7 linked regions of the Ovis aries genome follow. The protein of the gene in region 1 interacts with the protein of each later gene in a pairwise test. Links are inferred from orthologs where the notes say so. Each region holds a gene or a part of one and is shown on either strand. Other genes may lie near its edges.

Region 1 (4,222 bases):
GGGCCGGGCCCGCTCAGCTCTGAGTCGGACCCCAAGGAGCTGGAGTCATCCTGCAGCTCACTGGGCTGCGCCAGGTCCTCGCCCAGGGCCTGGGCCATGGCGCCACCGACCCCCCGTGCGGCAGGCTGCAAGATGTGGGCACAGCCAGTGTGAGCAGGGGCTCCCGGCCAGCCGGGGCCGGGGCGCCTCTGCAGCCAGGCCTCAGCCCCAGGACCTGCCCGCCTGGTCAAAGAGGACAGGTTGCAGGGCATCGCACCATACCCCTCTGGTACCCTCTCCTCTTGTGGGGTGGGGGTGGGGCACAGGCCCAGAGGGGCAGAAAGGCCAGGCCCCCTACCGGAGACCCAGGCCCAGCCCCTGTCCCAAGGGGCCCAGCTTACCTCCCTGCTGCACCTCACCTCCTCCTCTCACTTCCTCCTCAGCCACAGCTTCAGCAACCCGCTGAGGGCCCCTCCCAAGTGCGTGGTGGGGGGGGTTACCCCTTCCTCTCCAGGGCTCTTCCGGCCTGCCCCAGTAGCCCTGGGCCATGGGCTCCTCCCACCACCCCGGTGGGCTAGGTGGGTGCAGGCCTGGGTTCTTGTGCTGGGTGTGATGCAGCCAGGGCCTGCCAGAGGTAGAGAGGCCACGCTGCCTCCAGATGTGAGGTCACAGGCAAATAAAACACTCAATTCAGGGTTCCAGTGAGTATTACACTTTATTTAACGTGACTTCTTTTGTTAACGCTTTCGACAAGTCAAACAGTAAGTCATTACTGCGCTACTCAAAACACAACGACGAGACATTAAAAAATAGTAGTAATGGTGTAGCATGCGCCACGGGCAGGGGGACCAAAATGAGCTCGGCGTTCAGCGACAGGTGTCTGGGTATGGTCAGCCGCCCGCAGGCCACAGGGACCCTAGAGGTGAGAGCTCCTCCGTCAGTCTGAAGCCAACCCTTGCTATCTTTGAACCTGTTTCCTTTCCTGCACTTCGTGGATTTAATCTGCACTCTCTGGGGAGACCCAATGAGATATCAATGAGGTCACACCACCTTCTAGCCCGGGACAGAAATGGGAAGGACTATTGGGCCCTTGAAAGAGAAAAACAACTCCACACTACTTCCGGCCGCACATCCTCGGTGCAAGGGTGGGTAACTCCTCAAGGGCGGAACTAGAGTCGACCTCGCCCCGTGAAGCCCCGCCCCCAGTGTAGGCTCCGCCCCCGCAACCAGGTCAGCCCGAGCCCCGCCTCCCGAGCCGCCGCGGGCCCCGGGCCTGGCGTCCAGTGGAGGCGCTAGAGCGCAGGGGCGGCGGGCGACCGGGCGGGCCGGGGCGGGGCCGGGTGCGGCGGGGCGGGGCTGCCGGCAGAGGAGGCGGGGCGGCGGGCCGGGGCGGGCCCGGGCGGGCGGAAGGAGCACCAGGCCGGAAGGAGGCCGCGGGAGGGCGGGAGGCAGGATAGGGCCCGGAGGTGCTGGGCCAGAGCGGCGGCGCCGCCATGTCCGACAGCGAGAAGCTCAACCTGGACTCTATAATCGGACGCCTGCTGGAAGGTTGGCCGGGGAGGCGAGGGAGGTGGGCGCCCGCCGCGCCCTGGTCCCCTGCCCGGCCCGGAAGTGGCGCGCGGGTGGACCTGCCCCTCCCAGGGCCAGCTTTGACTGGGCGGGGACGGGCCGCGAGGTCCCGTGGCCACATCGTGCCCCCACCCCACCCCAGTCGTGGCGCGCTGGGAGGTCTGGGGTTGCTCCCCTTGCCAGAGCAGAACCGGGGTTGGCGGTGGCGGGGGTGGGCGCGCAAGGATTGGCCTGGGCTCTTGGCTGAGGGAGAAACCTGAGAAGCCTAGTCCCCCAGGAAGGGGTCCTGTGCTGAGGTTTTGGATGGCCTCTGCGCACAGCAGTCCCCTCGCGAGCGCCTTGAGGGCAGTTGGGGGTCCCAGGAGGCTCAGCAGCAACAGCTGCCCCTGGGCAAGGCGGGGCCGGGAGGCCCAGGAGCCCCTACCCAGAAGTGCCTTTGGGGCCACCAGTGACATTCACCCTCTTCTTGCCTGAGGAACCAGGGTCCTGACGCCTCTTTCCGCCCCCAGTGCAGGGCTCCAGGCCTGGAAAGAATGTACAGCTGACGGAGAACGAGATCCGTGGTCTGTGCCTCAAATCCCGGGAGATTTTCCTGAGCCAGCCCATTCTTCTGGAGCTGGAGGCACCCCTCAAGATCTGCGGTGAGCCCCCAGCCCAGGTCCCCGTGGCCTCCTGAAAGCGGCCTTGCCCCCCACCCCTCCCAAGTTTCTCCTCCCTTGGGCCCAACCCTGACCCTGGGTTCACGTTTAGGCTGCCCTAGTGCTGACCTGGTTCCCTGGGTCACAGGTGACATTCACGGCCAGTACTATGACCTTCTGCGGCTGTTTGAGTACGGCGGCTTCCCTCCAGAAAGTAACTACCTGTTCCTGGGGGACTACGTGGACAGGGGCAAGCAGTCTTTGGAGACCATCTGCCTGCTGCTGGCCTATAAGATCAAGTACCCGGAGAACTTCTTCCTGCTCCGTGGGAACCACGAGTGTGCCAGTATCAACCGCATCTACGGCTTCTATGATGAGTGTGAGTGGGCAGAGCATCTGGGCTGCCCTGGTCCTAAAGGGCTCTCCTTGCCATTCAGTGCGACCCTCGTGTTGACCTGGTGGCTGGGGTGTCAGCGTCTGACAAACACCTGCTAAGCTGAGTGCCGTGAAGGTAGCACCAGCCCATGCCACCCTCCCCGACCCTCCTAGAGCAGATCCTGGCACTCAGGAGGGACCTAGCCAGTGGCTGCTGGCTGAAGGGCTGCCAGGATTCTAAGGCAGGGCCTCACCTGCTGACACTCCCCTCCAGCGCATCCGATACTTAAGCACTTAGGATGCCTGTTGGGACTGGACTCTGTTAGACAGAAGCCAAGATGAACCAGACCCTGTCTCGACCTGGCCCTGCTCTTGTGCTGGGGGTGGATGCCAACCTTGAGGTCGTGCCAGAAGTGGAACTCTGGGGTTCCCGTGGACTTGGCTGCTTTAGAATTCTGTCTGGGAGGCAGTGGGGTAGTAGGGGTAGGGGGCGGGGGTTCGGTTTCCTTTTTTGCCTTCCATTCTCTCCTCCTAGCTGTGTCTGAACAACACACAATGTGTCCTGGAAGGCCTGGAGACCTGGGCTGAGGGTGGAGCAGAGGCCCTCTGGTGAGCTGTCTCCTTCCCCCTGGGCAGGCAAGAGACGCTACAACATCAAACTGTGGAAGACCTTCACTGATTGCTTCAACTGCCTGCCCATCGCTGCCATCGTGGACGAGAAGATCTTCTGTTGCCATGGAGGTGAGCACAGCTCTGGGCATGTGAATTCTTGAGCAGGATGAGCCTCCCAGGGTGAGCACCCCTGGGGACCTTGGGACAGAAGCGTCGGCTGGAAGATGTGTTCCCAGTCGCCAGGAACAGCTCTCCCTGGAGTCCTGGTATGGGTAGTACTTCTTCCATGACGTGCCCCCGCACTGCAGCATTAGGCTGCACCCACTGTTGTGTCATGGCCTCGCCTTCTTGCATGGAGTTTGCTTGTCCCCTTTCTCCAGGGCTTCCCTAGTGGCTCAGATGGTAAAGAATCTGCCTGCAATGCGGGAGACCCAGGTTTGATCCCTGGGTTGGGACGATCCCCTGAAGAAAGGAATGGCTACTCGCTCCAGCTTTCTTGCCTGGACAGTCCATGGGGTTGCAAAGAGTCGGACACGACTGAGCGAAAACACTTTCTCCAGGGAGCTCTGTGCTCCTTGAAGGGACAGGGACTTGGAAGAGGCAGAAGGTGATGAGTTCTGCCTTTGTAGGCTCCCAGGAATCCTGGAGAGGTGGGGGGCAGAGGCTGATTGGCAAAGGCTGCCTGGAGGAGGTGACCTGCCCCCTGTGCCCTCCAGGCCTGTCCCCAGACCTACAGTCCATGGAGCAGATCCGGCGCATCATGCGGCCCACAGATGTGCCTGACCAGGGCCTGCTCTGTGACCTGCTGTGGTCTGACCCTGACAAGGACGTGCAGGGCTGGGGCGAGAATGACCGCGGCGTCTCCTTTACCTTTGGAGCTGAGGTGGTGGCCAAGTTCCTGCACAAGCATGACCTGGACCTCATCTGCCGGGCACACCAGGTGGGCTGGCAGCCCCCATCTGGGTTAGAGCAGGGCTGGCAGCCAGCTCCTGCTGAACTAACCGCCTCCACCCTCGTCCAGGTAGTAGAAGACGGCTACGAGTTCTTTG
Region 2 (4,209 bases), on another chromosome or scaffold:
TCCAGGCCAGAATAGAGTATTTCTTTTAAAAGTAAAAGGTGGTAACAGAAGATGGTAAGACTTGTTTATGTCTTTACTTGGCACTTTAAAAAGCTGGTAATCCTATACTAATTTCCAAAATACAGTAAAACTGGAAAACGGGGATCCTCATCCCTAAAGTGGTTAGCTCAGCTGGTCACCAAGGAGATGATATCTATGACTACATACATGCATATTTAAATTGATCTCATATGGGTGGAGGGGCTTCTAAACTCTATTCTAAACTCATCATTCTCTACAGATCTCAAGCTGAAGCACAGAAATTAAGCAGGCCCTGTAGATATAGGTTGAATCCGTTCATACAGATTCAAGTTAGGTAGTTTCCTCGGAAATATACCTATCTGCTGCTGCTGCTGCTGCTGCTGCTAAGTCGCTTCAGTCGTGTCCGACTCTATGCGACTCCATAGACCGCTTCCCACCAGGCTCCCCTGTCCCTGGGATTCTCCAGGCACGAATACTGGAGTGGGTTGCCATTTCCTTCTCCAATGCATGAAAGTGAAAAGTGAAAGTGAAGTCGCTCAGTTGTTTCCGACTCTTAGCGACCCCATGGTCAGCAGCCTACCAGGCTCCTCCATCCATGGGGTTTTCCAGGCAAGAGTACTGGAGTGGGGTGCCATTGCTTTCTCCAATACCTACCTGAGAAACCCTCAACTATATATGCAATATTCTGAGATGGGTATTGGTCCTTTGCCTCAATAACAACTTTATTAAAAGGATTTTACTGTATTCCATTCACAAGGACACCCGGACAGTGATGGGCACAAAGCAAGTGTTCAGTAATTACTTATTTTCAACAGTATCCTAGAAGCTGGGGATACTGATCCTGAAAAGGCTCCACTTAAAACGGAGGGAAACGCGTTGGGCATTCTCTCGGGGCTCCCCTGGGCTCCACTTGTGATGGAGGAACTAGCGGTCACCTGTGAACCCCGTGGCTGAAGAGTAAGGCAAAGGCGGGGCCGACGGGACGGGTGAATGGCTCTGCAATCCCGTCCGCGCGCGTAGGGTGACTTTTCCCGGCTAGGACTTTGCCTAGGGAGTGGGAACTGTACCAGGCGCCGGCGTCCAGCCCTCTGGCTGTAACGGGATGCCGTGCAGCAGGCAAGTGCCTCTGCCCCCTGGCGCCCGTTCCCCCGGCTTCGGATGAAATTGTGACCCATCGCCCCCTTCCCAGCCCTTGGAACCCGGCCCTATCGCTCCGGGCGCGCAGCCTATCACGTGGCGCGGCGGTGATGGGGGGGCGGGGGGACCGCGGCTCCGCGGTTATTGGTGGACGGCTTTCGTCTCGGGCGCGCCCATTGGCTGCGGGGGGCGTTCACGGGAAAGGGGGGTCTGGGAAGGGGTCCCGAGTTAGGAGAGGTGGCCTGAAAGTTAAAGAGAGCCGCGCGGCGGCTGGGAGTTAGAGTCCCAGGTGAGGGGCAGCAGGGAGGAGGCGGGCGGGCTGGTCTAGCGCACGGACGGATGCGGCTGCCCGCGGAGGGCGCCCACCTGAGCCCCGGGCCCCGCTCCTGCTGTCGCCGCCGCTGCCCCTGCCACCTTGGCTGGGATGCTGCCGCAGGCTGGCGCCTCTGCACTTCGGGGCTTATGAGCTGTACCAGGTACGTCCCCCAGCAAGCCCGCAAGGCCCGGTGCCCTACCGCAGAAACGGCGACGAGGGCACGCATCAGGGACCCTCTCTGGTTCCTGCCGCACACACTTTCTCAGGCCAGCTTGCAGTTACACTCTGGGCATGGGACACTGTAGAAGGGCTTGAGGAAACTGTTGCTTCCTCGTGGAGAGGGCAATGCAGGGACCAGAGGTTGGATGGAGCCTGGCCGCACCCACGTGATGCACCGGTTGGGGGTCCTGGTCATGATGGGAGGCTGGGGCTGGGAGTCCAGACCACTTTTGGTCCCTACTGTGCCGAGTTCGAACCTGACACTAGGCTTTTCCGCCTGGGAACCGACACTCCTAGAGCTGAGCCCTGGGATCTTGAGCACAAGGGAAAGTCGCGGCGTCTCTCACCCCGCCTCGATTGCCCGTTACAACGTAGGGAAACACACTGGGTGATCTCTCAGGTCGCCGAGGGCTACGGAACACGGATCCGCACCGGCGGCTGGGGCCACTCTGAGCCGAGCCACCTCGGGTCCCCGGCCCCCAGACGGGCCGTCCTGGGCCGGCGGGGTCGAGGTGGCCGCGCGGGGACGCTCTCGTGGCGCCTCTCCGTCCGGGGTGGCCCCGCCGCCCCGCCCTGGTATGATAACTAGGGCTCCTCCTCCTCGTCGTCTTCCTCCCCCTGCCGGTCACAACTCCGGGAACCCAGCCCAAGCCCTGCCTCCCGGACACACACCGAGGCTCACGTAGTCTGGTGGCGGCAGCTTCCCCTGCCACCTCCCTCCGGGTTCTCCGATGCGGCGAGCCAGCTGGAAAGGGGGCTTCCCCGCGGCCCCACAGGGGGGGCCCCCCCCCCCCCCGCCCAGGCGAAGGATCTCGGGGAGGTGTTGGGGGCGGGATGCAGCCCGGGCCTGGCTGGACCCAGGAGACAGTGACCTGTGGGATCTTCGAAGCCAGGACGCCCTGGCCTGCCCCCGTGTCCTGTTCCAGCCACCCTTTTGAGTCCAGAGAAAGAGGTGTGGAAGCGACTCAGTGCAAAAGAGGGAGCAGAGAGCCCAGAACATACTAGAAGGTTTGGGCTTTCTCCTGGTATTGTTTGCTGCAGAAGAGGAGGAAATTGAGAACCTGGAGAGTTGCTAGAAGATGTTGGGGCCTGTGGTCTGTGTGGCCAGGCCTCCCTGGGAGACCCACGGCCCAGGAGAAGCCAGAGGAAGGCCTTCAGGCTGGGGTGCAGAGGAGAAGAGGAAATGGTTCATTTGGCAGGGTTGTCCAGGAGCCAAGACTGAAGTGAAGACAGCTGGAGGATTTACCCCAAAAGTAAAGTTGAGGTATTTAGGGAAAAGTTAGGGGAAAGAAGAACCATCAGGCAGTATTGGCAACCCAGAATGTCAGAGCTCAAAGGGATCTCAGGGGAGAAGCTCAAGCCCAGAGAGGTTGAGTAATTTGCCCTGAGTGCCACAGCGTCATGTAGGCGGTCCTAGGCCAGTGCGCTATATTTCATATTGGACACTTTTAGATGCAGACACTGGGCCATTTTAACTTATCTCTTTCCTATAATATGTAACTTCATCCACAGATATTTATCTCAGAGATGCTTTGGATGGTGGTGACAGAATAAAGGAGTCCAAGTGGCATCTAGGGCTGTGAATAACGGCCCCATGGTCAGAGAACCATGGGAAAGATGCCAACTTTGTTCACACTATGGCAGCCAAACCTTTTGGGAGCAAATAGAGAAATGCCAAAAGGGGTAGGTGACCATGTCTTTAAAACAAAAATTATACCTGGTAACTTGGTTGTGAATGCTTACCTTCACAATGTAGCTTCAGTGTTCCTGGTGAGTTATTGGTGTGTCTGATATTTCTGTCTTTTCTTATCAGGGTGCAAGAGAATGGGGGAGGCAATGTGTTGGCCTCAATACAAAAGAAAAAGATTTGCCTTCTATAAAAGGCACAGCCAGAGAGTCAGTAGTTCAGCTGCTTGAAACTGTGAAGGTTATAGGGTTATTTTCTGTACAAGTTGATAGACTTTAGAGAAAAATCACCATGACGTGTAACCCTCGCAAGCTATCTTGAGAGGGTGTGTTGTTTGTCACTAGTGGAACAGGGAAAGCTTTTATGCAAAACTCTCCATGTTCTCTCTAATTTGCATGGAGTGTTAGGGTTTGTCCTCTTTTTGACCAGAAACACTGAAATGTACCCTTAGACACGTCCAGTCTCTCATGGGGCAAGACGGATCTCCTAAGCATCTATTTGGAAGCAAAAGTTTTGAGAATCCCTGCTGGTCTGAGTAACAGCTACTCACAGTCTCATGACCTTGTCCTGCAAAGAACTGGTATCCAGGTCCAATGTCATCTCTGCTGGTTCAGTTGAGTGTCCACATCTCCTTCTGGTTTTTTTCCCCCGACCAACCTTGGTGACTCATATTACCTGACTTGGGCGAGGGAAAGGGCAGAGCTCCCAAAGAGTCTGTCAGAAGAGAGGGCGTGAGTACAGCCCAGTGCATCCTGTGTTGGAACTGATCATTTTCATGCCATTTAAGGATTAAAACACCTGCCCAGGTGCCTGCCTTTCAGGGACTTAG
Region 3 (3,220 bases), on another chromosome or scaffold:
TTGTAACCCCAAGGAGCCTGGGAGTGAAGACTGTCGCCCCTCCTGGTCCCCCTCAAGCCTCCCCATGTGCACGGACAGGGAAGAGGGCTGTGCAGTGGAGAAGACCCCGCCGCAGAGTGCGGACAGGCCCCCGGAGGAGCCTGCCCTGGAGCTCCCTCTGGCAGTGTGACGCATGGGCGGAGACTGCCTCCCACCCGTTCTCTATTTATTCCCTTATTTTATCTAACACCATTTCAAAAACAAAACTGTAGAAGCAGCTGCTGCTCCTATGTTATTTTATTGGGGTCACTGGGGAAAGGGTGGGAAAGGATTGTTTGTACAAGTATTTTTTAAAGGGCCAACAGAACCAAGGAGACCAGCCCCAGCTCGATCAGGGGACAGTCTTGGGGCAGAGGAGGCTGCATCCTGAGCTTTCTGGGCCTTCGGAACAAAGAACTAGGATCTCACAGGAGGAGCTGGGTAATTCAAGCAGCTATTCACGTAGGGACCAGAACACGACAATTTAAACAGCATGACAAAGCCCCTTCCTCTCTTCTGAGCTCCAGGCAGGGTTAAGCTCACCTTCCTCAGCAGTTACTCTGATACCCCACTTTGGTGTATTGTAGTAATACAGTTGAAATCGTCAGCTGGTTGAGGCTAGAAAGGAGGGGGTGAAAGTGTCTCTGCTTCTGTATAAAACCTCTAAGATCTATAAGAATTGAACCTGCCTTCCCTGACCCCCCCTTATTTGGTAAATAAGTTAATATTTGACATTTTTGTTCTCTGACCTGTTCCCCACACTGGGGATTCCTGGTCTTAACTTGGAAGTGTTTCTTTCACACGTTTTTAGGTACTAGAGTTAAACTTGTCTTTCCCCCTGCCCCCGCTTTGTCCTTTTTCCTTTGAAGGGAAAGAGCTAGATTGGCTGGGGATGTGGCATCAAGAGCCAGTCTTCCCTACATGTCTAACCGCAGCTCCATCAGGCAGCTTTAATCTGGGGCTCACACATCCCATGGGAGGCCTATATAGAGCATTAACCTGTGTCCAGAGGAGGCAGCAGGAACAGGCTGCTGTCTGGAAAGATGACTTTCTTTGTGCTGTGCTTGCGTTTTCACCTTAACCCCGCCCTGTTCCCTACCCCTCCCCCCAAAAAATTAAGCTTTAAAGGAGTGTAGGATGTGGCAAGTTCACCAGCTAGTGTTTTTGTGTTACCTTTTGTGTTTTTTCCTTTTTTGGGTCTACCCTCCTGGTCCCTCTTGGATATACAGGGTTAGAGTTCTTACATTCACATTCTGTTCCCAAGAACTGCAAATGCTTACTGGCTCCCTCCATCTTTATATATAAAGATTGTAAGCCACACCAGTTCCTAAATGCTTCCTGCAGCTCCCAGGTTCTAAGAAGTCAAGTTCTAACTGTAACTTTTGAGGTCTATTGAGTGGAACTCAGATTCTGTTCGTACCTTTATTAGGGGGGACATGGTTCCTGTTCTCTCATGTCCAGTTTATGTTCCAAGATGTGCTCCACTGAACACTGAATTCTTTTCACTAGCAAAGTTATCACTGCCTCTGTTTTCTTTTCTTTTTTTTTTTATGGCTCTTTGCTTCTGTTTGAAAAGGGAAGCATTAGGGAGCAAAACACTCTAGCATCCTTCACACTAAGCTTCATTACTGGTATGGTTTTTTGACCAGGAAAAGACAAAGTATAAACCTTTTTTTTTTTTTTTGGTGGAGGAGGTAACTGTTCCTACTATTTTGCTTATAAAGCCTTTTCTTGTGGGATCTTAAGGCCCCAGTGTCTGAAAGCAACCTTTATGTATGTATATCACAGTAGCATTTCACCTATCAAACCTAAACTGAGCCTGAAAGGCCTTATATTCAACATGGATACATCCTTTTAACTTATTTTGCCTCTCCTATTCATTCTTGTTTTTGCTGGTTTTACATTTGGAGGTGAATTAATAAGCCATAGGCCCTTATCTCTCCTCTAGGCTCACAAAACGGAGTCAGAGTCCTAAGCACCTGTGAAATAGGTGCTATCCTCAACTGAGCTACACTCTGCCACCTTAGACTGGTCCCCTCAGACAGAAGGTTGAACTTTAGTTGGGAATTTGACTCTGGAGATGAATCTTTCTAGAAGTTTGTGTCAGAAGGGGAGGGTGAGTGCTGTATCTTCCCTCCTTCGGAGGGCGCCAGCCTAAGCTAGGAAGTGGATTCACCTGTTTAATAAGACATTTGGGATCAGACCAAGAAGCTCAAACTAATTAAACTCATTGCCAGCCCCCAAGATAATAAATCCCTCCCTTCATTAACTACAGTTCTGACTCACCTGTCCCAACCTTTTAAATGCTAAATATTAACATTAACAATCTTGTTAAGCAAAGGGCCTTTTATGCAACCTAGTCCATCTCGTTTCTGGTGCTACCTGAGCTGGACAGACAGAATTACAGTGCATGGTTGCTAGAAAGGCTAGGCTGCTGACCACAAAAGCAGAGCTTCAGTGCTGCTTAGACTAGGTGGGATAAAAGAAATCCAGATAAATCACTCATTACAACTCAATATTTTCCAATTTCTTTTCTCACATACTGTACACAGGTAGTATTTTCAATGTGAATCCAAAGCTTGTCTGGTTCTCTGAAAAAAAAAAAATTTAATTTTTTTTTTTTTGCTTTTAGGTCCTTTACATTGTGATAATGCTGTATTTAAAGAAAATATTTAAATGTAATATTAAAGAAATATTCAAAAGAATGGTGTTTTCTTCTTTATCTTGGCAGACCACAATTCAGTTACTTGTTAGAGAAAAATGCTTCTCTAGTACTATATATAAAACCAATTAGGTCAGTTAAGGATTAATGTTAACAATAGGGATGTTTTACAATGGAAAAATAGAACATTCTATGGAGCATCAAGAGCTTCACTTGCATCATGTGCCCTTAGGCGCCTCTTCAGCTGGAGCAAGTCTTGATCTGCCCTGTTGGAGCTTTTCTGACTCAGTCCCTACTCTTGGGGCCCACTTTTCAATTCCATGGCTTTATATGTGTGTGTGTATATATGTGTGTGTGTGTGTGTGTATATATTCCTGTCTACTGTCTTAAAATCCAGCAAGAGCATCAACTTCACATCAGTTTTTTTGTTATTTCCATCCCATCAGAAGGTTCTATTCCAACCAATTATCTCTCCGTTAGGTTATGACAATCAGTCCTGTAAAAGGAACATTAGTAACTGGGGGACGTGTAAGTCATTTC
Region 4 (3,943 bases), on another chromosome or scaffold:
CCCTCTCCTGAGGGCTGGCCCTCACCATCCTTTCTCTCCGTGCCCACCCCTGTGCCATTGATCCTTGCTCTCCCCAAAGGCTTCCGGGCCCCCACACCCCCTGTCCTCCCGCTGGGTCAACCAAGAGGCTTTGCTCATCTGGCCAGAGAATGAATGGATGGGTGTAGAGTGAGTGACTCAAGTTACATAAAACTCAAATCCCAGCTCCGCTGTAACTCTCTCCGCTCCCAGCGGGTGGGGAGGGGCCGAGCCCCAGCCCCCTGGGCTCTCAGCCGGCCGGGCCTCCCGCAGCCGCTGCAGCCGCTGCAGCCGCCGCAGCCGCGCAAGATGGCGCGGCAGGGCGCGCGGCCGGCGGGGAGGGGACGGTGCCTCGGTGCCCGGCGCCGCCGCGCCCGCCCTAAACGCCCGGCGCTGTTCCCTCCCGGGCGGGGGCGGCCGCTCCTTCTCCACGGTTGTCGCAGAGTGGCACAGGCGCGGGCGGTTTGTGCAAAAATAGCACCCCCACCCCCCACCCCGCCGGCGCGGGCGCCGCCCAGAGGGCGCGGGGCAGGACCGGAGCTGCCTCGGAAACCGGCGTGTGCAGGCCGCGTGCCAGCCCCCGACCCTCGCGTGCCGGGGCCCGCGCCTCCCGGCCACCCCGCGCGCGCTTTCGTATTGCTCCTGCGTGCCACCGTGCCCACTCCCGTGCGCGCAGCCGTGCCCCCGCCTTCCCGCTCCTCCTCCCCACGCCTCTTTGCCCACCCCCGCGCCACCAGGTGGCCCCCTCCCGAGTCTCCGTCCCGCCCCCCCCCCGCACCTTTCCCTCCACGGGCCCCTCCCCCATTATCCGTGCCCCCGAGCCCTTGGGTCTCCCATCCCGCGTCACTGAGCCACCCTCGGGCTTCAGTATACCCCTCCCCGCGTTTCTGTGCACCTTCCGCCTCCCAGCGCCCCCCAGCCTCCGTGCCCCCCCATCCTCCGTGCCACCCCTGCGTCTCCGGATTTCCCATTCTGCATCTGTGTCCCCCCGTGCCTTTGTCCCCCCCGCATTTCCATGCCCCCTCAGCCTTCGGATCCCCCCTGCGCGAGTCTCCGTGCCCCCCAGCCCGGTAGGGAACCCCCCCCCCCCCCGCCACCCGACCCCGCGCGCGCGCTCCCGCCGGTGTTTTCGGACTGCACCGGCCGGGGGAGGCGCCTCGTCTGTCGCCGCCGCCCGCACCCGCACCCGCACCCCGCCGGCCCCGCGGCTGCGGCTGTGGGTGCTGAGCGGGCGCCGCGGCCAAGGCGCGCTCGCACCTGCGGCGGCCGCTCGGGTGATGGCGCGGTGCGGGCCTCGGGCGTCCTGAGCTGAACGCAGCGCCAGTCGGGGGATGCCAAGCCGCGCTGCTGGCCCTGGCCATGTCGTCGTCCTTCTTCAACCCCAGCTTCGCCTTCAGCTCGCACTTCGACCCTGGTGAGTCCCCTGGCCGCGCCCCTTGCCAGCCCTCTGCCCGCTGCGGCTGCCCCTAACCTGCCTAACTGCGGACATTGATGCTTCCTGAGCCGCTGGTTTTCTATTTCGCATGGAAATTAACCCTTTCCTCTCTCTGAGCGGAGCTGCAGACGTAACTGCTTTCCCGCAGGAACCCCTGGAGGCCCGGAGGTGGGCAGGCCTAGGGGTTGGCACCTGCTTGAGGCCTCCAGCAGCCGGGGTGGGCAGTGGGGGCACTGCCTGTCCCTGTGGAAGCTTCGATCTCGCGTATCTGGGGCAGGAGGGCCCGTGCTGGGCCAGGTGTCCAGGGGAGGAGGCAGCCAGGACTAAGGGCTCCAGGGAGGGGTGGGAGTGTTGCTCCCTCAGGCCCATGGACACCCTTGCTGGGACTAGGGTGGCAGGCTCCTCCCTAGGCTGGGAATGCGTTCTGGAGAGCCCTGCCGGGCCACCCAGCCGCCTGCATGGGGAGGTGGGACAGAGCACAGGCTCAGAAGAGATGGGCCTCAGTGGATGCCCAGGCCCTCAGGACAGGGATGAGGCCGAGGTGGCGCTGTCAAAGCTGGCTGCAGGAGACATGGGGCCAGGCCTCTTCCCCCCCCTTCCCCCAGGCTGGCAGCCCTGGCAGCCTGTTTACCCATGGCTGCCTGACCTCCTGGCAGCAGTGGGCCGCCATGGTGGGCAGTGGGGCCGGGGGCAGCTGGAGGCCTGCCTGCGTTGCCAGAAGGTGGTAGACTTTCTTCCCTCTGCTTTCATAGGCCCCGCCATCCGCCCCTCCTTGGCCCTAGTGGGAGATAAGCCCCTGCCCTGGAGCCGTGGCCTAAGGACCCAGAGTCCCACCCACTTGTCACTGGGGCTCTGGCACAGGCTAATCCAGCCAAAACAAAGCCGGGTGAGCACGTGATGGGCTCTCCTGGGTCTCCCTCCCTGGAGTAGGGCCCAGTTCGTGCAGTGATGCACAGGGTCCCCTGGGTCCGGCCCCATCTGAAGGCATTTGCTCCTGAGGGAGGGGAGCAGACGGCAGGTTTCTCTACTGGACTGAGGATGTGGGTGTCCCTGGCTCAGAAATAACTTCCCAAGGCGACTCCCAGAGCTTGAAGAACATGGAGTCCCAGTGGATGGCCCCCAACCTGGCAGTGACAGCCCTGCTGGACTCTGAGGGCGGGGGTTGGAGGTGGGGGTGGAGGTGGCCCTGCTGAGCAGTCAGTCCCAGGCCCAGACAGCCTTTTGGGACAGGTATCCAGGTGGCTCCGGGCCAGTGTTCCAGGCAGCGTGGCTCCTGGGCTGCGAAGGTCCAGCCTTGGAACCATAGGTAGGGTGAGTGTGTGTGTGGCAGGACTGACCCAGGGATGGGGGACACCCTTCCCCATGCCCTGCCTCTTGCACTCTTTGTAGGGCCCAGACCTGCCCTGTGTGGTTGGGTTCAGTACACTCCCCCACCAAACACACACTTGGGTGTGTCCCAGCACGAGACCCTTCCCCCATCTTAGAGAAACAACTAAGCTGATTCCTCTTGCAAATGTTTCTGTTAACAGCTGTGATCAGTGTAATTATAATGTGTCAGTTTAAGGACTTAGCAGGGGAAAAAGTTGTCAGGAGGCAAGAGGAGGTCTGCTCTTTTCAGGCGGAATGGAGAGAGCCCTGCCCCACTGTGCGAGGGGCCCCTGGATGGTAGAGGTGTGTTGCCTGTGGGGTGTGGAACTCCAGGGCTCCATGCTGGCCCTCATGTGGGCATTGGGAAGGAGGCGAGGTGGGGTCCTCTGCCCTCCCGCTAAATGCCTAGCATTCAGAGCCCGGCTCCCACCCCTTGGAGTCCCCCTGCCCACCCTTGCCTTCTCGAGTCTCAGTTTTCTCATCTGTAAAAGGGGATAGCAGCGCCTACACCAGGCTCAGTTAGGGGTTAAGCACCCAATGAAAACCTGACCCTCCATGAACACTGGCTGCTCTTTTGGAGGGGGTGGTGTATGGAGACAAGGCCACAGTGGCATGTGGCTTTCCTCTGTCCCCAAAATGGGGATAGATGGGTTTTGAGGTTGACTCCTGTCTAAATGGGGACCCTGCTTGGGATCCACCACAGAGGGCAGGGGACAGTCATGTTTGTGGCTATCTCAGAGTTTGTTTCTGTGGTCGCTCAACACTCTGGGGTGGACAGAGGGACCTGGCCTGGGCGAAGGGTCCTCAGAGTGTCACCAGGCCAGGTTTGTTGCCTACTGACAGTCCTGTGCCCATCATGGATGCTATGGTAGTTCTCCATAGAGGTGGTGACAATGGTGGCAGTTATGGAGAGTGAAGGGGGCTGAGTTTGAGGCTCCGGCTCTCGGCACGTGCTTGAGTGCAGTATGGGTGCTGGGGGACCTTATTTAAACTCAGCTCCTGCCTGGGCCACCGTCACCTATCAGAGATGGGCAGGGCAGGGCAGGCCACTGGAGGGGGCCAGGCCCAAGCATGTTCTTCTGGAACCACAGGCTGGCACAGGTGGGCATCTGGAAGGGCGCC
Region 5 (2,705 bases), on another chromosome or scaffold:
GGGAAATGGGCTCTTAAGCCTATAAATATTGTTTCCCAAGAAAATAAGTTTCTAAAGTGCAAAATTACACCTTAAAAGGTCCCCTTTTCACTTCAGCAAGCAAACAACATCCTAGAACAGATCCAACTAAACAAAAAAGGGAGGATTAGAAATCACACCATCTCATCCTTCATTTTCAGGGCCTGGCTTCAAACCTGGACGTATCTGAGTGGGCTATGTTGCAAAAAAATATTAAACTAGGTCACTGGATCCAAGCTGCACATCCTCTAAGAAAAAGTTGAAGGACAGCTGCCAACTTTTGTTTTTAAAAGTAACCTCTCAAGTAAGAGGTAGTGTATGCTAGGGCCAGAGGCTGTCAAATCATCTTAATATTGCTCGAAAACATTAAGCCCTTTGAAACATGTTTGCTGGAGTCTATTAAACATCTTTTCTCTGTGCTCAAATGTCAAGCAGTATCCAATAGCTTCTTCTGTTTCTTGAATTCGTTTCTGGAACCTGCATCCATCCCGCGCAAATTCTTCCCATGGTCCTTTTCGATCCTCATCACCGCTTATATAATACTCAGTAACTTCTTCAAGGAAGGTTACCTATAAACATAAGAGTAATTTTAATCTCAAATATAACAGAAGTAAAGAAACAAACTTGTACACTCTTCCAAAATGACAAATGTTTCCTAAGTATTTCAGAAATATATTCCTGAATGCTTTTATTACAGCACAAAAGTTCACTTCTATTTCTTTTTTAAAAAAAGTAACTTTTCAGTGTTTTTCAATTCTTGAATCATAAACATGTAGTAGTAGTATTATATTAATTATTTTATAATCAGAACACAGAAGAAAAAGTTACTTAGTATTCAAACTGCAACAAAATGTATCTTTAAGGTTATGTTGGAGAAGGCAGTGGCACCCCACTCCAGTGCTCGCCTGGAAAATCCCATGGGCGGAGGAGCCTGGTGGGCTGTGACGGGTCGGACACAACTGAGCGACTTCACTTTCACTTTTCACTTTCATGCACTGGAGAAGGAAATGGCACCCCACTCCAGTGTTCTTGCCTGGAGAATCCCAGGGATGGCGGAGCCTGGTGGGCTGCCGTCTATGGGGTCGCGCAGAGTCGGACACGACTGAAGTGACTTAGCAAAAGGTTATGTTACTATAAGAGACTTTGTAGTTAAGATAAAAACCCTCTGTGTATTCTTCATTATCCTATCACCATATATACATGCAATTGTGACTACTGCAACATATATGATCACAGGTAAGTGACAGTTCCTTTTAATCCCTACTCAATTTCTAATATAGAAGTATCTTTTTAAGATATCAAACACCAAATGTCAAAACTTGTTTTAAAGTACATTCATTACTTACATCAGCTAATTCCACTGTGGCTGGCTACTTTCATTCCCTTTACATCAGGCCAAGGAATACCCCCGAGGACAATTAGTAGATATGTAACACCTTACTAAATATTGCATTCTAGCATTACTCATTCATTTTATCACCAAGATAAATAACATTTATACAGTGGTTACCATATGCCGGGTTCTTTTCAAAGTACTTAACAATTTTCATCTCACTTAAAAATACATACCCTATAAGGTATGTATTATCATCATCTTCATTGTATAGATAAGGAAACCAAGGTAAACTGACTCATTCAAATCACTCAGCTTCCAGGGGTGCAATCAGGACTCCAACTCAGCCCGGCTCCACAATCTGCACCATGTTTGCCATTTAATAAAGCATTCCCAGATCTGAAAGCCTCATTCTAAGAACTGGGAACTATCCATTATTCCCATATACCTAAAAAATGAGATGTAGTCAAAGGTTATAAATAACTTTACCATATTCCAGACATAATCTTTTATAAATGTTGCTTCTAGTGCATAGTAATAGTAACATCTACTTGACTCATCTCACTTTTCACTCAGTGAGCAAGCTAAAAAGAGACATGAGGCTGGGCTGAGATCCCTAAACAAGAGTTATCATTTAAGGCAAAGCAACTATGAGTTTTATCTACTCACCTCGTTTAAACCGTGCAATAATTCATACAATAGCCATTATTATTATTACTATAAGTTAGTCAGTCAAAGCCATGAGAGGTCAAGTTACTTCCCAGCTCTGGCTATCTTCCTAAATCTGTTGGCCCTCACCACTTAAGAGTAGGGAACACAAGTCTCTAGATGCCAAGTGCTCATTCCACTGCCTCACTTTGTTTCTCTAGTCACTGAACAGGCCATTTTGTCAGGGACCTTTAAAAACATAGCGAAAAACGTTTAACACAGCATTAACAACAGTGTGACCTAAAATCTAATTTTTAATATGCCTTATTTTGCGTCTACAGCTAGGACATAAGAATACCACCATTTAGGGACATTTTCTACCCTAGGGAGAGTTTCAAAGATTAAGCTGGTCAATTGGAGCCAATGGATTACAGTTCTTTCCACTTGAAACTCTGATGCAGCAGAATTTGAGGTCAATAATAATTCACCCATGACTTTCTTTCCAAATAAAAGTAAAGGTAATTAAAGAAACTTTTGCTCCACAATAAAAGATACCTGTTTGTGGGGATTTCTCTTCAATTAATAACCTCAGCTGAATTTTTTTTAAAAAGGCAATTCAAAAGATTCCCCAAATAAGGTTACCTTTGGAATGTGTTGAAACAGTAAAATAAATGCTCCATGAAGTTTTAAGACTAGCCTGGGAATA
Region 6 (3,500 bases), on another chromosome or scaffold:
GTGTTCTAGAGAATTTGAGGGGAAGTAATGGCTTCCTTTTACAGAGGAGGCTCATCTCAGTTAAAAGCAAAAAAAAAAAAGGAGAGGGGAATGAGCTCAGGGAAGTGAAAGGGGCAAAATCAAACTCCTAGACCATGCATGCATTTTTACAGTTTGCTTCTCCTTTACCTAGAAGAGAAAAAAATAAAGTTTTCAAACATGGGGGCATTTATTATGTTCCGGGCACTATCCTAACACTTTGCATGCATCATAAAATATAATCTCACCTCAGCCCATGAGGTACTGTTGTTAGCTCCAGTTTACAACCAGAGGGGCCGAGGAGCAGGAAGGTGATGTGACTGACCGGCCCCTGGCTCCTTGAGAAGAGATCAGATTCCAGAGCTTGTGTCATGGGACTTGCCGAAGCTCATCTGCTCCCAACCCTAACTCGGAAATAGCCTTTCCAGATTTGCTTCCAACTACTGTCACATTTGCCCAGTAGACATGGTCTCTAAATCCCACTCAGCCTTCCTCCCCACAGACCCGATGAAGAGCAGAGGTCCCCATACCACAGGCATAATGCTTCCATCAGAATTTTCTTCAAGAAGTTGGTCAGAGTCCCCTCCCCTCTCTCCTCACTCTCCCTCCTGCTCATGCCTCTCAGCTGACTCATTCTTGTGAGTCTCAATGTCTGCTGTCTCTTGCTTTGTCTCTGCTTTTGTGTCCTCTTTGGTCTGCATGACATTTCTGTTCTCTTCTCACTGTGAAGCCCTCTCTTTAGGACTGTCTTCTTCATATCATCTTAAAGGCCTGGAAGGAGATCATAGAAGTTTGTGTGTGTGTGTGTGTATGTGTGTGTGTGTGAAAGAGAGAGAGAGAGACAGAGAGAGACAGAGAGACAGACAGAGGACGAATGGAGGTAATACACCTTCTGACACCACCCCCCACCAACACTCACCTAGCCAGTCATTGGCTGCCAGCACTGGCAAGCAGCACTAAAAAAAGAATAAGGTCACCTTTGAAAGACCCTGGGAGAATGTGAGCACAGTCAAATTGGGAAAGCACTTAACTATTCTGGGATATCAGGACGTACTGCCTACTCAGTGGCCCCCCTCCACCCCCAGCTGCTGTCAGCCGCCCCAGGGCTGATATCTCTGTCTTATAATTCTCAGATGGATCTCTGCAGAGACCCGTCCAGTCGGGGATCCCCACCCTCGTGGTGGGCTCCTTCAGACACAGCCCCACCATGGTGGTCCAGCCTCAACAGTTCCAGTTCTACCAGCCACAGGGGGCCCCCTCCTCAGCCTCCACGGTGGCGGCGGAGCTGGGATCCAAGCCCACTCCCACTGGGGAGCCTGCCCTCACGTGCGTCAGCAGGGGCAGCGACACCAGGATCCACACGGCAGCCAGCTCCCTCATCATGGAAGGCAAAGAAATTCCCGTCAAGAGTGAGCCTCTCCCCAAACCGCCTGCATCTGCCCCGCCCTCCATCCTGGTGAAACCAGAAAACTCAAGAAACAGCAGCGAGAAGGTAGGAGTAGGTGACATGGCAGCGGTAAAGAATCCTCCCGCCAGTGCAGGAGACACAAGAGACGTGTGTTCAGTCCCTGGGTTGGGAAGATCCCCTGGAGGAGGAAATGGCAACCCACTCCAGTATTCTTGCCTGGAATGTTCTATGAACAGAGGAGCTTGGCAGGCTACGGTCCATGGGGGTCACAAAGATTTAGACACACTGAACATGTATGCATGACCATGAGGTGACGTGAGGGGGGCCTGATTCTTTAGACGCCTAACTTTGCACAGTGTCTCAGCTCCTGAGATTTCAGCTTTGAATGGACGAGGAATCAAAGGAATCCTCACACACAACCCCCCTCCACATCCTTATACCACCTCCATCCTCCCTGGACATGTTACTGAATCTCCCTGATGCTTCCAGAATATCTCATACATCCTACTTTCAAGGCCCAGGGGTGACTTGAAAAAGCATGGCTTTGGCCTCAGATACAATGTTGTTTTGAATTCCAGCGCTGCTGCTTGCTAGCTGGTGACTCTGGTTAAAACATTTCACCTTTCTGAGATTTTTTTGCTTAATCTGTAAAATGGCAGTAAGAAGAGTCATAGCCTCACAGGACTGGAGTGGAAATTAAATGAGATGAGTAAAGTGCTTACACAGGGAATAATGTGTACCTGTTCACAGTATGGAGGAGGTAACTGAGACACAGCAGAGTGTAAGTGACTTGTCAAGGTCACACAGAGCTATAACTACTCAATTGACCATTATCAGGACCTTTGTGGTTCTGTGGCTTTTCCATAAGAAGACATAAGAATTTTTGTAAATTTTTTATGTTCTCAGTAATATCCTTGAGGAAAGAAGGATGGTGGGATGGAGGAGGTAACAAGAAAATTAGGTGACTGTTACTGTTTCGTTTTGGGGCTTCCCTGGTGGCTCAGCAATAATCTGCCTACAATGCAGGTGATATAGGTTCAGTCCCTGGTTCAGGAAGATCCCCTGGAGAAGGGAATGGCAGCCCACTCCAGTATTCTTGCCTGGAGAATCCCATGGACAGAGGAGCCTGGCAGGCTACAGTCCATGGGGTCGCAAAAGAGTCAGACACGACTTAGCGACTAAAGAAACAAACAAAAGACAGGCAATGGCCAAGGTAAACACTGATTGTACCAGACAGATCCTGTAACAGGCTAGGAAAGAAGGGAGAGAGGAAAGGCTTATGCAAATGTGAGATGGTGACTCCCACACAGACAGGGAGCTGCTGATCAGCACCAGCCAACTGTTGGCAGAATGGGGCCCTGGCCCCGGTGCACCTGAGCTATATCATGAGAGACAGATGAAATCCTGACTTTCATATATGCAGTCTCCCAATTTTTCATGTTAGCAGCTAAAACTCTTAAACCTTCTGTAGACAAAGTGTAGTCAGCGGTGTCTAGTTTGCTGGCTCTGCTTTGAGGATTTATAAGTTAATCACAGAACTTGATGCAGTCAGCAGGTAGGCCTCAGGGAAGAGGTGGGCCTCAAGACAGGCCTTACCGGCAGGTGGAGAAGAGAGAGGGGAGGTGAACTTCTTATATTTTCTCGAAAGGATCATGCCCTCTTGCCTAGAACCCTGTTCTTAGGTCGGTGATTGCCCCTTCTATTTCTCTTAGATAATCCCCATTCTTCAGTTCTTGATTGAAATACCTCTGCCTTTAGGAGGCCCTCCCTGACAAGTCCCATTCCAGCTTCAATTGGATACTCCTACCCACTCCCTTAGCATCTTATTCTTCCCCACGGAAGCACTGGTTCTCACTGTCATCTGTCAGGGAAGTTCTGTTCACTCTTGGATTTGTACATAGCACTTGACAGAGTGGTGATCCCTGGTGGACTCTCATGCAGACACAAGTATCTGCTGGAGGAACACATGAATGAGGCATTCCCAGAAGGGACAGGGTAAAGGAACAACGTGAGCCAAGTCCCAGGGGAAAACAGCACAGTTCTCACACCTCAGCCATGTCCCTTTGTTCTCCTG
Region 7 (3,500 bases), on another chromosome or scaffold:
TAGTGGTAAAGAAGCTGCCTGCCATGTAAATAATAAATATCTTGTTGAGTACTTTTGATTGTATCCTTAGGAAAATTTCTGAATTATAAGGGTGAAGATTATGCACATTTGCCAGGCTTTTAGATTTATTGCAACTTATTGCAAATTATCATGAGAAAATATATATCTGTTAATTTATGGTAGTAGCCATGTGTCAGAGAACTTATTTGTTTGGATTTGTTTTTCCCAGACAGACAATGCAACGTGTCACACTACAGAACCAGCTCCAACAACTTCTTGAAGCCCAGAAATCAGAGGGCAAGTCACTTCTTTCTTCACCCAGGTAATACCAGAAGTGGTGGTGGTTAGGATTGTTAAGTATCTTTCATCTCTGAGCCGTTTTCTTGGACTTTCCTTTATTATCTTTTTAGAAGATAGCAACAGAAGACATTTTATTTTTATAAAGAGGAATAAAAATGAGCTATCATAGGGAAGAAGGCACTGGATCTAGGGTCAGAAGACATGAGTTTATCTCTGGCTCTGCCATTTCTTCTTTCCACGACTGTAAACAAGTCACTTACTCTTTTAGAGTCATTTTTCCTTCAACTATGAAATGGGAATAAGGATATGTAGGCTCATAAGGTTGTTGACGATGGGATTGGGAAAATTTGTGCAAAATTGATGTGTGAAAAAACAAAATAGTAGACACATTTGGCAGTCACAGCATAAGGTATGAGGCATCCCATTCTGGTTATGGTTGCCACCATGGAATGTTTGTAGTTTGATTGAAGCAGACATTATTCTTATTTCAGTCTTAGTGATGTGGAAGTTATTCGCAGCAGTAAAGCCACGCCGTGGTTCATGGCTGAGTTATTTTAACCCAATAGGAGATCATCTCATATATCCTCCATCCTCTTTCAGTTCACCATCCTCCCCAGCTTGCAGAAAGTCCCAGTGGAAGTCCCCAGATGCAGAGGATGAGTCTGTAGCCAAAAGCAAACCAGGAGTCCAGGAGGGGATTCAGGTTCTTGGAAGCCTGTCAGCATCCAGCCGGGCTAGGGCCAAAGTGAAAGATGAAGATTCTGATAAAATCCTACGTCAGTTATTAGGAAAAGATATTTCAGAGAATGTCTGCACCCAGGAAAAGCTGTCGTTGGAATTCCAGGATGCTCAGAGTTCCTCGAGACATTCCAAAAAGATCCCCCTGGAGAAGAGGGAACTGAAGTTGGCGCGGCTGAAGCAGCTGATGCAGCGGCCACTGAGCGAGGCTGACACGGACTCCAACAACTCTGAGGACCCCAAGGGCACCCCTGTGAGGAAGGTTGACAGGCCCAGACCGCAGCCCATCGTGGAGAGTGTGGAGGGCGTGGACAGTGCAGAGAGCCTCCACTTGATGATCAAGAAACATACCTTGGCATCAGGACGCAGGTTTCCTTTCAGTATCAAGGCCTCCAAATCCCTGGAAGGCCACAGCCCATCCCCCACCTCAGAGAGCAGCGAGCCGGACTTGGAATCCCAGTGTCCGGGCTCAGGAAACACCCCCTCAAGCCAACCCTCTGGAGAAGCCCCTCAGCCCAGCCCTGACAGTGCAGCCGCCCAGAAAGTGGCCACGAGTCCCAAGAGTGCCCTCAAGTCCCCGTCGTCCAAGCGCCGGACATCTCAGAACTCAAAACTCAGAGTGACCTTTGAGGAGCCGGTGGTGCAGATGGAGCAAACTAGCCTTGAACTAAACGGAGAAAAGGAGCGAGAGAAGGGCAGGACCCTCCAGCGGACGTCTGCTGGTAGCGAATCAGGGGATCAGCTCAAAAGGCCCTTTGGAACCTTCCGATCCATTATGGAGACACTCAGTGGCAACCAGAACAATAATAATAACTATCAGACATCCAACCAGCTGAAGACCTCCACCCTCCCCTTAACCTCCCTTGGGAGGAAGGTGACAGACGGTAAGGGAAACACCGGGAGCTCTGCTAACAAAGGAAAAAATAAGGCGGTGAGTGCTGTTTGGAGAATGTCCCTTTTATTCTTTTAAATTAATTATGTTATTCCTAACACCACAGATTACAGCCCTTGGCCACCTTGAGGGAATCCCTGGAAGAATTCTAAAGGATGCATGGAAAAACAGACTCCAGGGTTTCTAATGAGATAAGTTGTGTTGAGTACCTTTTACTCTTCCTTTGGAAATTGAGAGAGGATGATTAAACAGATCACAGGAGGTTATATCCTGGTCCCTCGATTTCCCCAAGTAGTTTGATCATTGAGAATTAGGAGTTGTAGATGGGGAGGCATGTCTATAGGACTAGATTACAAAATCAGTGTGAAATCAGGCCCCTCTTTATCCCTGATTCTGCCCCAGGAAGAGTTAGTTCTCCTCATGTGACTGGACAGTTTATTCTCGAGCCCAATTAAACAGTATACAAATAGAAATTCTATTTCTAAAGAATTAACTACTCAGCTTCAGAAAGACCTTTGGAATAAATATGCCGCAGGAACCTCCACGTTGACATCTTAAGACACAAGCCCCTAAGGAAGCCCTGGTGGTCTACAGTGCTTGCCCACCCACAGGGGATGGCAGAGTGTGTGCCATGAACTGCACTGTATAATTGCATTTATTGTAAAACCACGTGTTATAATCTGGATTTAAATCCTGTGAGGAAGAGATACGAACATCTTTTTAGGTAATGTTTCCTGCATGCTTTGTGCCTGTTATGCCCTTGAAAACATGGTATAGCCGCCAACGTGTGAAACCCTCTGTGAAACAGAAGGACCCAGAATATCCTTCACAGTAACTAGAGAGTAACACCTGCATAATTTATTATTTGTCATAAGGTACAACCCCATTCTGGTGCGGTCTAAGAACTTTCTAGATTCTTTTTGCAGTACCAAAATCAAATTTTAGTTAATATCACTCCAATTAACAACACACAAATTTTAATTGCACATTGATTTCCACCGAGTTGTCTTTGTTATAAGACTTTAGCATGTATTTGCTTCAGCTTAGAAAAGTCACGTTTGTGCCCCTGAACACCAGGCCTTTTGGATTAAATATGTCCAAACTTACATTGCTGGAGTAAAACTTCTCCAGGTAACTTAATGGGTCCTCTCACTGAGGAGTCAAAGATCTCAGCAGTTCCCCATGCACCGTAAAGTGTGTCCAAAGCGTCTATCCTTTAACCTGTCTCCTGCATGCCTCCTGTTTATTGAGACTTGTGCATGTGCTGAGCTTGTTGCATGTGTTCAGATGATTTTTAATTGCACCTCTCTAGGAGATGTACGGCAGCTGCATCAATCTTTCCTCTAACACGCTGATTGAAGAGCATCTGCGTAACTATGCACGGTACGTGGTGCTAGGGTGTCTCCACAGCAGTGCCAGGCCTTCGCTTTAAATTGCATGACCTTTTAAATGGTGGTTCTAGCACACTTTTTGCAGGCGCTGACACCTAGGTAGTAGAAAATTCTGACTCCTCCCCCAAATAGAAGCTGACAGATTTGTAACTGGTCCTTAGAAAGGGAGCAGGTACCCA

What was found.
Region 2: the proteins of PPP1CA (region 1) and PPP1R3B interact in binary tests that used the Homo sapiens proteins (3 or more experiments, as listed by UniProt). The link is inferred for Ovis aries from reciprocal best matches to the Homo sapiens genes PPP1CA and PPP1R3B.
Region 3: the proteins of PPP1CA (region 1) and CSRNP2 interact in binary tests that used the Homo sapiens proteins (3 or more experiments, as listed by UniProt). The link is inferred for Ovis aries from reciprocal best matches to the Homo sapiens genes PPP1CA and CSRNP2.
Region 4: the proteins of PPP1CA (region 1) and AATK interact in binary tests that used the Homo sapiens proteins (3 or more experiments, as listed by UniProt). The link is inferred for Ovis aries from reciprocal best matches to the Homo sapiens genes PPP1CA and AATK.
Region 5: the proteins of PPP1CA (region 1) and PPP1R15B interact in binary tests that used the Homo sapiens proteins (3 or more experiments, as listed by UniProt). The link is inferred for Ovis aries from reciprocal best matches to the Homo sapiens genes PPP1CA and PPP1R15B.
Region 6: the proteins of PPP1CA (region 1) and SH3RF2 interact in binary tests that used the Homo sapiens proteins (3 or more experiments, as listed by UniProt). The link is inferred for Ovis aries from reciprocal best matches to the Homo sapiens genes PPP1CA and SH3RF2.
Region 7: the proteins of PPP1CA (region 1) and SNCAIP interact in a two-hybrid assay, tested with the Homo sapiens proteins (2 studies listed by BioGRID and IntAct). The link is inferred for Ovis aries from reciprocal best matches to the Homo sapiens genes PPP1CA and SNCAIP.

Annotation. Positions count from the first base shown.
Region 1 is NC_056074.1:41,699,855-41,704,076, reverse strand, and holds the start of PPP1CA (serine/threonine-protein phosphatase PP1-alpha catalytic subunit), read left to right. Parts: upstream 1-1,422; 5' UTR 1,423-1,472; coding exon 1,473-1,527; intron 1,528-2,057; coding exon 2,058-2,189; intron 2,190-2,334; coding exon 2,335-2,565; intron 2,566-3,197; coding exon 3,198-3,302; intron 3,303-3,889; coding exon 3,890-4,113; intron 4,114-4,194; coding exon 4,195-4,222. Other genes in the region: TBC1D10C (carabin), read right to left, coding at 1-251. UniProt on the Homo sapiens protein: Protein phosphatase that associates with over 200 regulatory proteins to form highly specific holoenzymes which dephosphorylate hundreds of biological targets.
Region 2 is NC_056079.1:24,332,487-24,336,695, reverse strand, and holds the start of PPP1R3B (protein phosphatase 1 regulatory subunit 3B), read left to right. Parts: upstream 1-1,409; 5' UTR 1,410-1,497; coding exon 1,498-1,634; intron 1,635-4,209. UniProt on the Homo sapiens protein: Acts as a glycogen-targeting subunit for phosphatase PP1. Facilitates interaction of the PP1 with enzymes of the glycogen metabolism and regulates its activity.
Region 3 is NC_056056.1:135,118,123-135,121,342, forward strand, and holds the end of CSRNP2 (cysteine/serine-rich nuclear protein 2), read left to right. Parts: coding exon 1-169; 3' UTR 170-2,553; coding exon of another isoform or gene 2,554-2,609; 3' UTR 2,610-2,720; downstream 2,721-3,220. UniProt on the Homo sapiens protein: Binds to the consensus sequence 5'-AGAGTG-3' and has transcriptional activator activity. May play a role in apoptosis.
Region 4 is NC_056064.1:51,028,322-51,032,264, forward strand, and holds the start of AATK (serine/threonine-protein kinase LMTK1), read left to right. Parts: upstream 1-1,143; 5' UTR 1,144-1,377; coding exon 1,378-1,432; intron 1,433-3,943. UniProt on the Homo sapiens protein: May be involved in neuronal differentiation.
Region 5 is NC_056065.1:1,999,320-2,002,024, forward strand, and holds part of PPP1R15B (protein phosphatase 1 regulatory subunit 15B), read right to left. Parts: intron 1,800-2,705; coding exon of another isoform or gene 1,779-1,799; exon of another isoform or gene 1,588-1,778; intron 588-1,587; coding exon 366-587; 3' UTR 1-365. UniProt on the Homo sapiens protein: Maintains low levels of EIF2S1 phosphorylation in unstressed cells by promoting its dephosphorylation by PP1.
Region 6 is NC_056058.1:55,018,529-55,022,028, forward strand, and holds part of SH3RF2 (E3 ubiquitin-protein ligase SH3RF2), read left to right. Parts: intron 1-1,151; coding exon 1,152-1,510; intron 1,511-3,500. UniProt on the Homo sapiens protein: Has E3 ubiquitin-protein ligase activity. Acts as an anti-apoptotic regulator of the JNK pathway by ubiquitinating and promoting the degradation of SH3RF1, a scaffold protein that is required for pro-apoptotic JNK activation.
Region 7 is NC_056058.1:29,092,568-29,096,067, reverse strand, and holds part of SNCAIP (synphilin-1), read left to right. Parts: intron 1-229; coding exon 230-322; intron 323-900; coding exon 901-1,969; intron 1,970-2,036; coding exon of another isoform or gene 2,037-2,059; exon of another isoform or gene 2,060-3,242; coding exon 3,243-3,313; exon of another isoform or gene 3,314-3,500. UniProt on the Homo sapiens protein: Isoform 2 inhibits the ubiquitin ligase activity of SIAH1 and inhibits proteasomal degradation of target proteins. Isoform 2 inhibits autoubiquitination and proteasomal degradation of SIAH1, and thereby increases cellular levels of SIAH.